Canis lupus familiaris: one gene and its partners. The protein of the gene in region 3 interacts with the protein of the main gene of each other region in a pairwise test. Links are inferred from orthologs where the notes say so. Each region holds a gene or a part of one and is shown on either strand. Other genes may lie near its edges.

What was found.
Region 1: the proteins of CYTH1 (region 3) and ITGB2 interact in a two-hybrid assay, tested with the Homo sapiens proteins (2 studies listed by BioGRID). The link is inferred for Canis lupus familiaris from reciprocal best matches to the Homo sapiens genes CYTH1 and ITGB2.
Region 2: the proteins of CYTH1 (region 3) and CYTIP interact in binary tests that used the Homo sapiens proteins (3 or more experiments, as listed by UniProt). The link is inferred for Canis lupus familiaris from reciprocal best matches to the Homo sapiens genes CYTH1 and CYTIP.

Annotation. Positions count from the first base shown.
Region 1 is NC_049252.1:38,476,566-38,480,437, forward strand, and holds part of ITGB2 (integrin beta-2), read right to left. Parts: coding exon 3,796-3,872; intron 1,312-3,795; coding exon 1,131-1,311; intron 65-1,130; coding exon 1-64.
Region 2 is NC_049257.1:3,654,483-3,658,354, forward strand, and holds part of CYTIP (cytohesin-interacting protein), read right to left. Parts: intron 3,021-3,872; coding exon 2,954-3,020; intron 416-2,953; coding exon 1-415. UniProt on the Homo sapiens protein: By its binding to cytohesin-1 (CYTH1), it modifies activation of ARFs by CYTH1 and its precise function may be to sequester CYTH1 in the cytoplasm.
Region 3 is NC_049230.1:3,507,826-3,511,797, reverse strand, and holds the start of CYTH1 (cytohesin-1), read right to left. Parts: upstream 2,693-3,972; 5' UTR 2,561-2,692; coding exon 2,434-2,560; intron 1-2,433. UniProt on the Homo sapiens protein: Promotes guanine-nucleotide exchange on ARF1, ARF5 and ARF6. Promotes the activation of ARF factors through replacement of GDP with GTP.

The DNA of each region.
Region 1 (3,872 bases), on a different chromosome or scaffold from region 3:
TAGTACAGGTCGATGGGGTAGCCCTTGGCCCGCCGGAAGGTCACATTGAAGGCAGCCGCCTGACCTGCGGGCAGACGGGGCGAGCGTGAAGGCGTCTCCGAGGCCCCGACCTGCCCTCCGCGGGCCCCGAGGTCTCATCACCGCCCCCTCCTCCGAGGCCTGTGGACATGACACCGGGCTCCCGGCTAGACTTGAACTTCTAGGAGAACCTTCCGGACCTACTCATGCCACCGAGTCCTCGTTCACGGAGCACTGTTGCCGTGCACGGGCACCTGGCTGCCCGGACCAGCCCTGCTCCATCCCCGGCACCGGGCACCCCCCAGCCGGACGCAGGCCCCTGTCCCAGCCTCAGCGTAGCAGGTGCTCAGCAAACACGTGACGGGAGGGTGAACGATGGAGGGAGGGGGCCTGGTCGTCTCCGTCTGTGCCGCCTGCCGGGTGCACCAGGGGGGCAGTGCTCACCCAGCCCCACCCTGGCCAGTCCGCCCCGTGGTCCTGCTCCTCCCACCAGGCCCGCCTCCCCCAAGGACTCCTCCTGGAGCACTGACGGGGCTCTGCCGTCAAGTCAGTCTGAGCAACAATGACTCCGACGTCGCTCAGGCTCCCTGGCTACAGGACTCATCAGGGCTTTTACTCTGCCAAGAGCCCCTGACGGTGTGAGACGGGGATAGAAGAGTTCCTCCTCCCCCCCCCCCTTTTTTTTTTAATTTTATTTATTTATTTATGAGAGGCACACAGTGAGAGAGAGAGGCAGAGACACAGGCAGAGGGAGAAGCAGGCTCCATGCACCGGGAGCCCGACGTGGGACTCGATCCCGGGTCTCCAGGATCGCACCCTGGGCCAAAGGCAGGCGCCAAACCGCTGCGCCACCCAGGGATCCCCCTCCTCCCCTTTGGAAAGGACACAGAGCCGAGGCACAGAGCCGCCGATGGTGGGCGTTGGGGGTCCTCCCGCAGGCGGAGGGCAGGGGCCACACTCCCTTGGCCGAGTGTCCAACAGTCTCTAGTCTCCGGGGCTCGCCTGCCTTGCTGCCCGACCTGGCCACCGGACGCCTGGACCATCACCCAGCCCTGGCGCCCAGAGCCACCAACACGCCAGTGCCCCCTGACCCCCGCCGAGGCCAAGCCTACCTGGTCTCAGGTAGAGCGTCACTTTCTGCGGGGACAGCTGCTGCCGGCCGCCCTTCTTGTCCTCCTGGATCTCGGCCAGGCTCTGAGGGTCCATGATGTCGTCAGCCGCACATCCTTTCAGCAGCAGCTGCTCTCGGGTGTCACAGCGAACGGAGTCGGGCTCCCCTAGCCCAGTGAAGTTCTGGGGGGCGGGGGGTCAGGGCTCAGGAGGAGGGCAGAGGCAGGGTGGGGGCCGCACTGTGGGTGCTGCACGAGAGCGGCCCTCGGGGTCACTTGAGGAGGCGGCCCCTCCTCTGTCGCACCTGGGATTGGGGACAGGTGTCTGGGTGGGGAGGGGTGAGGGTGGGAGGCCAGGCAGCTGGGTGTGAGGAGGACACCCGCCCTCTGACGGCCTCTCCCTGAGGCTGTGGGTCACCCCAGATGATGGAAGGACCAAGGTGTTCAGGCCCCGGCTGTCCCTGGGGTCGCTCAGCAGCTCCAGGCCCTGCCGGGGCACCTGGCCAGGAGTGGCCGGGGTGGCTGGGCCTTTAGTAGCAGAAGCGCCCTCCCGAGAGGAGGCAGGTGCCGCCCCGGGGGCTCCAGCACACAGGCCGGCCTCTGGGCCAAGCCCCAGGCTGTTGGGAGAGGCGGGCGGGGTCCTGGATCAGGGCAGCGTCCTCATAGAGGCCCCTGGGCTCTGAGAGGATGGGGTGGGAGCAGGGGCCCCGTTCCGTGGGTCCTGACGCCAGGCCAAGGAAGAACACGCTCAGGGACCCGGACACGTCTCTGCCCCCTTTCTCAGGGGGGCCCAGGAAGGGGCAGGTCATGTCTCAGGGGTGGCCATGCCGGAGGCTGGTTAGGTGCGGCCCACCGCGGCGCCCGGAGGGTGGGCACTTCCCGAGCCGCCCGTCTCCCCCGGGACCTCTGTCACTGCTCGCAGGACCCGAGGAACAAAGCGAGCCCCCCGGGAACAAAGGCCTACGCTACAGTCTGCGTGGAAGCTAATGAGCCTCGCCCTATTTCCAAGGAATCTAACGAGCTCTGTCGCGGGGAATGGGGAACTCCAACCTGCCGGGGACGTTTCACCCCCGGGGCTGCGGCCACACCGTGTCAAAGGGGGGAGACCACACCCGGCACCCCACTTCCCTGTAGGCGCTTGTGGCCGGGGCGTGGGCCGGCCGCTCCGAAGCCCCTGCCGCGTCGGGCGGGACCGAGAAAAGGAGGAAACGTGTTGCGGGGGCCGGAGCCCGGCTTCTCCTGAAAGGGAGGCAGGAGCCTGCGGAGAACCGCCAGATTCCCCGGCGGGGGCGAGGACGAGGACGATTCTGGGCCTGGGCCATGTCACTACTCGATGGGATGAGCACTGGGTCTTATATGTTGGCAAATTAAATTTAAATTTAAAAAATGTAAAAAAAAAAGAAAAGAAAAAAAGTGCTCAGAAAATGGACGCGGAGGTGCGCCTGCTGGACGCTCTGATGGGACAGAGACGGGGGAGGTGGATGAAGTCCTCCTTACACCAGGAGCCACAGGGGAGTGCGCGCGCTGGACGCCCCCACGGTGCAGCCCTCGCCGGACTGGTTGGGGTGCCCCCCCCGCCCCCGGGCGCTAACGTCAGGGGGTGTAAGCTTCATAGGAAGCAGGCCTCCTGGCCACGTGCATCACCCCACAAGTCACGTATTAACCGCAAAGAGCTAATGGTGACATCGCGGTGGAGGCGACGCCCCTCGGCTGGGGGGCTCTCACCAGCATCACCAGTGTGGGGACAGAGGCACGCCCTGAGCCCCGTGCGGGGCACCTGCCCAAACACACGCCCTGGACCCAGGGAGAGCGAGCGCCGGGCCTCCTAGCGGCCGCTGCTCTGAGCCCCTCGGAAGTGCCGGGCGCGGGGGGTGGTGCGTGACCCAGAGCTGAGGGGCTCCCGGTTCCGGGGGACTGAAGGGCCAGGACACCTGCTGCCGGGTGTGATCCTGGGTCATCGCACAGCCCGGGGCAAGCGCGATCGAGAGCATCATGGGCACAGCTGGGAACGTTTGCGTAGGGCGTGCAGACGTGAGCAGGTGCCGTGGCCACGGTCCAGGACCGGGAGGAGCGTGTGGTGGGTGTCGGGGTTGGGGGGCCTGGGCTAGCGACGGATGCTTGAAGTAACGAGGGACAAAGGGGCTTCAGGTCTGCAGTCTACCCTCAGTGCGCGCATGCGTCTCCGGCCCGTCCTGCAGCGTCAGAACCTCAGGGACCCCCAGGGCGGGAGGGCATGGTCGGGACAGGGGCGCAGGGGGAGGGGGCCGCGGGCGGGGCCTGGGGCTTCTCTCCAGGAGGTGGATGGGCCCGGGACAGGAGGGTTGCGGCCGCCGCGTGAGAAGCACAAAGGTCCCATGCGGAGCCTCCCGCACCTCGTCCCTGTGCTCTCACTTCCTGACAACCTCCTCACGTCCTGTGGTCCCCGCTCAGGGCTCCTGCCTGGGCAGGGGGCACACGGCCGGGTGACCCCAGGCTGCCCTGGGGTGGGGCCGAGTCTGTCTGTCTGTCTGTCTCTCAGCCCCCAGGCTGCGCGTGCCTCCCCGGAAACAGAGTGGTGGTCCCCCTGGTGCCCAGCTCCAGAGGCAGAGGGAGGGCGTGGGGACAGGAACGGGGACGGGAACGCGGGACGGGCAGGACGGGCGCGAGGTCCCTGGGGGGGGGCTCTTACCAGCTTCTGGCACCAGGCGCAGCCGGGCCCCGACTCCACACAGTCCCGGCACGTGCTCACTTTGTACTTGGTGCACT
Region 2 (3,872 bases), on a different chromosome or scaffold from region 3:
GGGATGAATTTTAAGAGTTGTTTCCGGACACTTCCCCTTCTGTTCTTCCGGGGCAGGGTCCCGAACATGTTTGAGAAGTTGCCCTCCCACAAGGGGGACATGGACCCGCTGCTGGCAGTACTAACACTTCGGTTCCTCCTCGAAGAAGACCTCTTCAGAAAATCATCTCCATCCTTGGGGACAAAGCACTCATCATCTGTGCTTGTCTGTCGACTGAAGCCTCCTCTGCTTGAGTCCTCAGACACACACGTCTGGTAGCCATCCTCGCTGTCCACGGTCATGGAGCTCAGGCAGCTGCTCTCACTTGATAATCGATTCCGGTCCAGGAGGGCTGGGCCTGGCCCGGGCAGGGTTCCAAACAAAACTGACTCATCTATGTCCATGTTTTCCAAACTTGGGCAGTTACCTGTGTTACCTAGAATGCAGAAAACAAAGTCTACTGTGGAATGGGTATGAGCATCATTCCCCATAAGTAAACACAACCAAATTTCTCTTCAAAGGGTGTAAGAAAGAGTAAAGGTGAGTAATATTTTTCCCTGAGTTTCACCTGTATGAATAAGTGATTATTTATGAGACTGCTTGATAAACCTTATAGTGGTATTTCCCAAACTATTGTTCATGGACTAGCTTCCATGTAAAAAATGTTCCCTGGTCACAGAAATAGTACTGGAAATTAAATAAATTTAAATAGCTTCTTCATGTAAGAATAGTCAAGTCATCTGAGAGTATGCTGGTATGACTTGTCAAGCTCCAAAAGTATCACTTCTTAAACAGAAGTGACCCTGCAACCTTTTATTGAAATTCTCACAGAAATGGCATTCTAAAGAGTACACTCAGAAAAAAAAAAATAAAGAATATACTTGAGGAAATGCTGTCTTACGGACTTCTTCCATTAAGTTCCTCTGATTTTTAGTTACCACATTTTTCAAGGACTTATAAAATTCTTATAACATCACCCGAAGTGTATGGGAAACACATGTAGCCTCCACCTGTAGGCTGATTATAGATAATTCAAAACAGAAAGGGTATCTTCCAACCTCAATATTCCATGTTTCTTCCTAGAATACTTTAATACTTAAATGCTCTGGAATAGTACCATACCCAGAAAACATCCCTGTCCTCAAATAAGTAACAATTTATTTGTAGGAGCTGAGTTTTATCTGCTTAGCTGATTTTTTTCATCAACCTTTCATAACCTGCATCTGGGCTCTCCAAGCTCAGATTTTAATTGCACACCAACATCCTGTCCCTGCCCCGCTTGCTTATGCACTGAGCTGGCTGGTATGCTGCTAAAAGGAAGGGGATTATTTGTTACACTAGCCTGAGAACACGGTAATTAGAAGGGGACTCTGCTTCAGGAACAGCAATGGAACACTGCACACTCAGAAATGGTTTTACTCTGCGCTGATTATTTCTCTACTGTCACTTTCCTTTGTCCTTGATGAGCAATACAAAAAGAGCCTGATTTTCCATTTAATCTGCAAGGTTGAAGATGGCCAGCTCTGCACTGACTCGTCAGAATGCTTTCCTTTTTTCCTAATAAAACCTACTTTATTTCATCTGGCAACAGCCTGATTGGAAAGCAATTGAGAATCTCATACCCTGTGTATTTATTCTAGGTCTAGAAAAAGCAAACTAAAGAATTCCTTCAATCTCTCAAAAAAAAAAAAAAAGTGTAAAACAATGGCTTTAATGAGGAGTCATTCCCCTTAATCCTGAACTAAAGATCTTGTCTACAGAAGCTATTCCTATAGAACCCCTGGACTGCCTATACACATTAGGCCAAACCTCATCTCCACTCTAGAATGTTCCAGAAGCAGACGCAGAGGTTTCCCAGACATCCTCAAAGTCTACAGAAATCCAAGAGTGGCTGGATTTAAACCTGTGTCCTGCTAGGAAACGTCAGACCCCCAAAAAATCTGCTACAATTGTTTTAAAATATTAATTTAAAAAATAATAAAATATTAATTTAAAAACAGACAAGAGAAATAATTTATATAGAAGCTTCATTTAAAAAACAGAATTTCAAAATAAACATCAAAGCCATATATTAGTGCCTAATTATGAGTTAAATGTATCTTTTATTCTGTAAATAAATTATTACCTGAAACAAACAAAGCTAAAGGTTATAAATAGACTTTAGCTCAGGGTTATCTGAAGAAGGTATAACCTGTATTTCACACTAAACCGCTAAGCCACCGAGGCGTCCCCCAATTTTTTTTTAAGCAGGCTCTATACCCAGCACAGAGCTCAACATGGGGCTCGAACTCATGACCCTGATATCAAGACCGGAGCCAAGATCAGTAGTTAGACAGTCAACCAACTGAGCCACCCAGGTGCCCCCAAATCAATTAATTTTAAACTCAACCTTTCCTTTCAGAATTTACACAGCAGCAAGAGCCATGCATTTACTGTTAGAATGATCGCTGGTATTTCCCGTCTTGGGTTTGCAGGCATGAATAAGCATTTCTCTGCATTCACATAACTTATATAATATGTACAAATGGTAGGAGCTCTACCCAAGAAGCAATCTACCATTCCAGCCTCAGTAATTTCTGAGAACTACACAACCCTGAGCCACAAGCATTCTCAGAAATTTAATTCATCTATTGTAATAGTAGGAAAATCAGACTATTATTCCCACTGTTCTTCTAAAATCTCCAGGTGCTTCTTACAAGTGTGTGCACACATGTGAGAGTGTGTGTGTGTGTGTGTGTGTGGTTTTGTGTGCATATGTGTTATATGCATGGAAGAAGGGATGTGACTTGACTTACTCTCTGAAAGCACAAGTAAATCCAAAGGTCATGCCAAAAAACCCCCAGAGACCAGTATTTTTGATCCATGCTAGACAATGTTTTCTTATAATGATGATAATCTTACAACAACTTAGAGGTCGAAATACCAAAAAGATGAATGTTAATGTGGTTTCTTCTGAACAGGAAATCACACTTACCATGAAGCAGACGCTGTTCCTGTAACTGCAGAGATCTGAACTCCACCCATTTTTTCTTCAAGGTTTGCTGATAAAAAGGAAAAAGAAGTGTTAATTATTGGGAATCCCCAGTGAAGGTAGCAATTTACCTCTAGATGTTGCGATTTGTCATTAATATCTTTCCTTCCTTCCTAGCACTAACAAACTCCTCCATTCATTTGAAAGATTATTTTCTACACAAAAGGGAGATATTGGGAACATTACTTCTGCAAGAAATAATCTAGTAGCATCAACAAGTTGAAACTATGACAAAGGAAACAACCGGCAATAGAAACAATGGCATTTATTTATTTATATATTCTTAAAAATATTACAGAACCATATTGCTTGGGTTTGTGTATATTTACCAGCTGTTGAGGCAAGGATTTACACTCTAGGCTTCCCCTGTGTGTAAGATGAAGGCAATAATAGTATCTAAACCCTGGGATTATCCTGAGAATTGGTAGAGTCAGTAGGACAGAAAAGGTGCAAAACAGTGAACAGAGCTTAGTAAATGTTCAGCAAGTATCATCATTCTATCAGCCTGCACTGTTAAAGCAGTGTTTATCGCTGCACACCTATGTACTTTTCACAACAAAAAGGGGAAGCCAGTCTGTCTGAAAGGTTTCCTTGGAGGGCTAAACTTAGAACACCGCTAAGCACCCTGACTTCTTAGCTGCTTCCTTCCTCAGCTGCCCAGCACATGCGAGCAGCGGCCCAGGGTGGCCATGAAGTGGCTGCTGTCATGGTCAAGACTGCTCGTGAGGCGTGCCCTCTTCCATCAAAGGGGGTGATGAGAATCAAAGCAAACCACCCAGAGACATCTGACAAGGACAGTTAGAGGCTCACTCTCCCTCCCGCCCTTCGGCCTTGCCCTGCCGGCTCAGATCCCCACATCAAG
Region 3 (3,972 bases):
CTGGACAGATCCAGTGGAGGCCAGCAGGCAGGGCAGCCTCCACAACAGCAGGACGGAGAGGGCCGACGGCACAGGCGGGGGGCTGCACGCCAAGGCACGAGCTCCAGGAGCCACTCGGCAGGGTAAGGACGTCTGCGACGGCCCCATCCGCTGCCTCGAGGTCTCAGCTCCTCATCATAGCTCCAAGACCCTCCTGGATGCGACCCCACTGCCCCCCCAGGCTTTTCTTACCCCTTGTGTCTAGTGTTTCCTCTTTAACCAAAATAACGTGCACACATCACATAAAAAAACAAACAGTACCTATGGCTTAAAACAGCAACCCACAGTTTCCTGCCCAACTGCAGCCCCCACGCTCGCATCCTGCTCCGTGGAGGTAGGCTCCTTCAGCTCTCTGTTCTGCTGATTACCTCCCTGCTTCCACACATCACAAGCACACTACCTGCTCCCGAGTCCTCAATTCTGGGCAGCAACTGCCTGCCATGGAAGAGGAAGACTCAGCTCTGACCCCCACCCTCCCCGCCCTGACACACGCTCCGTACAATTACACGTGAGGTTTGGGTTAAATCAGTGTTTATTACTTCCATAAACACTGCTCACAGCTTAGCTACACAACGTACTAGGATTGAAATTACCACGCAGTGGCGTGAAGTGTCTCCTTTGTGTCTGTGTGCTTAGCTCTCTGCCTTACAGATGGAAAGCCAAGCTCTCTCCACCAGGTATGACGCTGTCAACAGGAGCAACCCAGTTCTGGGTCAGCCCTCCAAAAACCTCCACACTCCTCCCGGCCCGGCCTTGCTGCTTTCACAGCAGCACCCTGGCAATTCCCTCTGCCTCTTCCAAACGCCGCCTCCCGTTTCTCTCATTCCGTGCTTCCTTCCTGGATCCCTTCTTTTGCTAGAGCATATCCTCTAAGAAGGACACGAGGGATGGGTTTCCATCACTGCTGTGGATTTTGCATGTCCAGAAATACCCCTGTCCTCCTCCCACACTCGACTGGCACTCTGGCTGGATTCAGGGCTGTAAGTTAAAATCGCTTCCTCACGATGGCGAAGGCATTCCCTCACTGCCTTCTGCTCCCACAGTGCTGTTAGTGACCGTGCCATTCCAACCCCAGAATTTTCTATGGGACCATCTTCCTGCTCTGAAGGCTTTCAGGGTCTTCACCCTTGGCGCTGTGTGGTTTTGTAACACAGTGTCCAGGTGTGGGTCCGTTTGCACACACTGTGCTAGCCCCTAGGCAGACCCCAACTCTCAAGTCTCATAATCTTTGATGATGTCCTACCCTTTTTTCTCAGCTCTCACCGTTTAGAGTTTCTGTTAGACGCTGGACCTCCACTGTGAATCCTACTTTTCATCTCCTTGTGGAACCACTTTCTAGGAAGTATTCTTGCAAGGCACTCAATGTTAGCGTTTACCCCCGATCTGCGTGCTGAAACCCTAACGTGATGGCATTTGGGAGGCAATCAAGCCGTGAGGAAGGAGCACACATGTGTGGGATTGGCGGCCGTCCAGGAAGAGGCCAGTGAGGCCAACTGGCTCTCCTTGTACCTCATACCTTGAGAGCACACAGCAGGACGACAGGCTCCTGGGGGCCAGGAAGGGAGCTGGGAGCAAGAAGCACCGATGCCGGCCCTGCTCAGACTCCCCGTCTCACACCCGCAGCACTCACACCCGAGAGAGCGCTGCAGACACCACCCAGTGTGTGGTGCTGTCACGGCCTGCCCTGGGGCAGCTCTCTACTTCATCTTCCAGTCTCTGGATTGTTTTCTTTTGGCTGTTTTTAACTCGCATGAGCCCACTCTTAATCTCCGAATGTTCCTTTTGGATAGCATCCTATTCTTGTTTTATTAATACATCACATCTAAGACTCCTAGGTATGTGGCTTTTAAAATGCCCTGCTACAATCTGTTTCCTCAAACATCTTTTCAAACGCCGGCACATTGGCGAGGACAGGCACACACTAGCAGATGTGAAGATGTGGGCTGTCCCTCCACATCTAAGGGCCAGCACCAGCAGCCTGGTGAGAAGGCGTGTGGTGGGTGCGGCCTGTGGAGCGTTGGGTCTCCCTTAAAGCAGGAAAGCGGTAACACGCGGACCGCGAGGGGCTCCGTGGGTTCTCTCTCCCATCAGCCTGAAGAGCCATCCTCCAACCTCCTTCCTGGGCTGTGTGGGCTACAAACCTGGGCAGAGCAGCCGGGCCGCCAGGTGGAGGGAGAAAGGGTGGGACGGCCACACCGAAGGACACACACCTTTGCTCACTCTCCCTGTGCCGCCATAGCGCTCTCCAGAAATCAAACCTTTGTGTTCCACCAAAAGTGGAGGAGACATTGCCTTGCTGCAGGATGTGGGGAGGGGACCTGAGAGCCTTCATGCCTGCCATGAACACCTTCCACCCTCATCCAATCCCTACCCTCACCCCTTGTCTCCACTCACAGAGGCCCACGGAGCCCTGCAGCCTTTCTGGGATGTGAGGGTAAGTGGTTTTGCTTCCTGATGGACCCCTCCTCTGCAGCTGAGATCTTTCCTGATGAGCTGCCAGGGCGAGAGTGGCATGGGGCATAGAACCATGCGAGTGTCCTAAGACTCCCAGAAGAGCAGCTGTGCGCTGGGCTGGAGGGTGACAAAGACGTCAATCCTCTGCAGAAGAAAATCCACAGGCACCTGGCAGTACTGCAAACTCTTTGGGAAGTTACTTCTGCTTGGGTTACCTGAAAAATACAGATTTGTACTGTTTTTCCTCACAAACAGGAATGGATCTTGCCAAAAAATAAAAAATAATATAACTGAAAAATTTTTAAAAGGCTGAGGACAAAGAAAATACATATGTGTTACAAAAAATTCAAATGAGGGGGTCACCCGGGTGGCTCAGCAGTTGAGCATCTGCCTTGGGCTCAGGTCATGATCCCGGGCTCCTGGGATCGAGTCCTGCATCAGGCTCCCTGCTTGGCGGAGAGCCTGCTTCTCCCTCTCCCTCTGCTTCTCCCCCTGCTTGTTTTCTCTCCTATCAAATTAATAAATAAAATCTTACAAAAAAAAAAAAAAGGAAGAAGAAGAAGACAAACTGTACGGAAAGTAGTTGGCATAGTAGTTTTAGACGCCTTTTAAAATAAAGTAAAAAATACATGATGCAGTCAATGCCGTCTGTGCTGCCCTCTGCTGGCTACACGAGGAGGCTGTTTAAAGGTTTACAATTGGCCATTTTTGCCAGTAAATTCAATTACGTTTTGAACATATATGGGGAGAAAAGAGGGAAATTCATGATCTACACAGAGTGGGCCATGCTCTGCTGATACCTGCCAATACTTCTTTCTTATTTTCTGAGATGGTTTTCTTAATACTAGAACTGGTTTGACCTTTGTCCCTACACCGGCGCATCGTGGGAACTGGCACGGGGAGGACGAGGACGGTTAAGGATGCAGCGGCTGGAAGGCGGCGTGGCGGGGTTAGGGCAGCACCATGCAAAGCATCAGAGCAGGGGTCCCCGCCGGCACCACCAAGGAGACAGAATGAGCCCCAGTGACAAGCCACCCGGCATGAAGACTGGAGGCAGGCCGGTCCTTCCGCAGCTCTGGGACACGGAGGGCACTGGCTGTCCCCTCTGCAGTCCTCGCCGTGAACGCCGGTGAGAGGATTCAGTGCCCACGGCCGCTGCTCCGGGAAGAGACTGAACTCGGGGCCCCGGGTGGCCCCTCCCCGGGCCTCCTCACCCCGAAACCTGAGACAGCCCACCCGCCCCCCGTTTTCTAGCGACCGGTCACACACACCCCACTCAGATGTCTTAATAAAGGTAGTGCTGAGTACGCTGCCTTCATCCAAAAGGCTGGAGTCCTCCCTGGGTGTTCAACTCAAGCTAACGCCTGCTGAACGTGCTGCGGGCTGGGGCCCGGAGGTGAGGACACCTGCCTCCCTGGTCACACCACGGCCCCGGGGTCCCAAGGGGCGCTAGGAGTCACACGTACGTCACCATGTGGC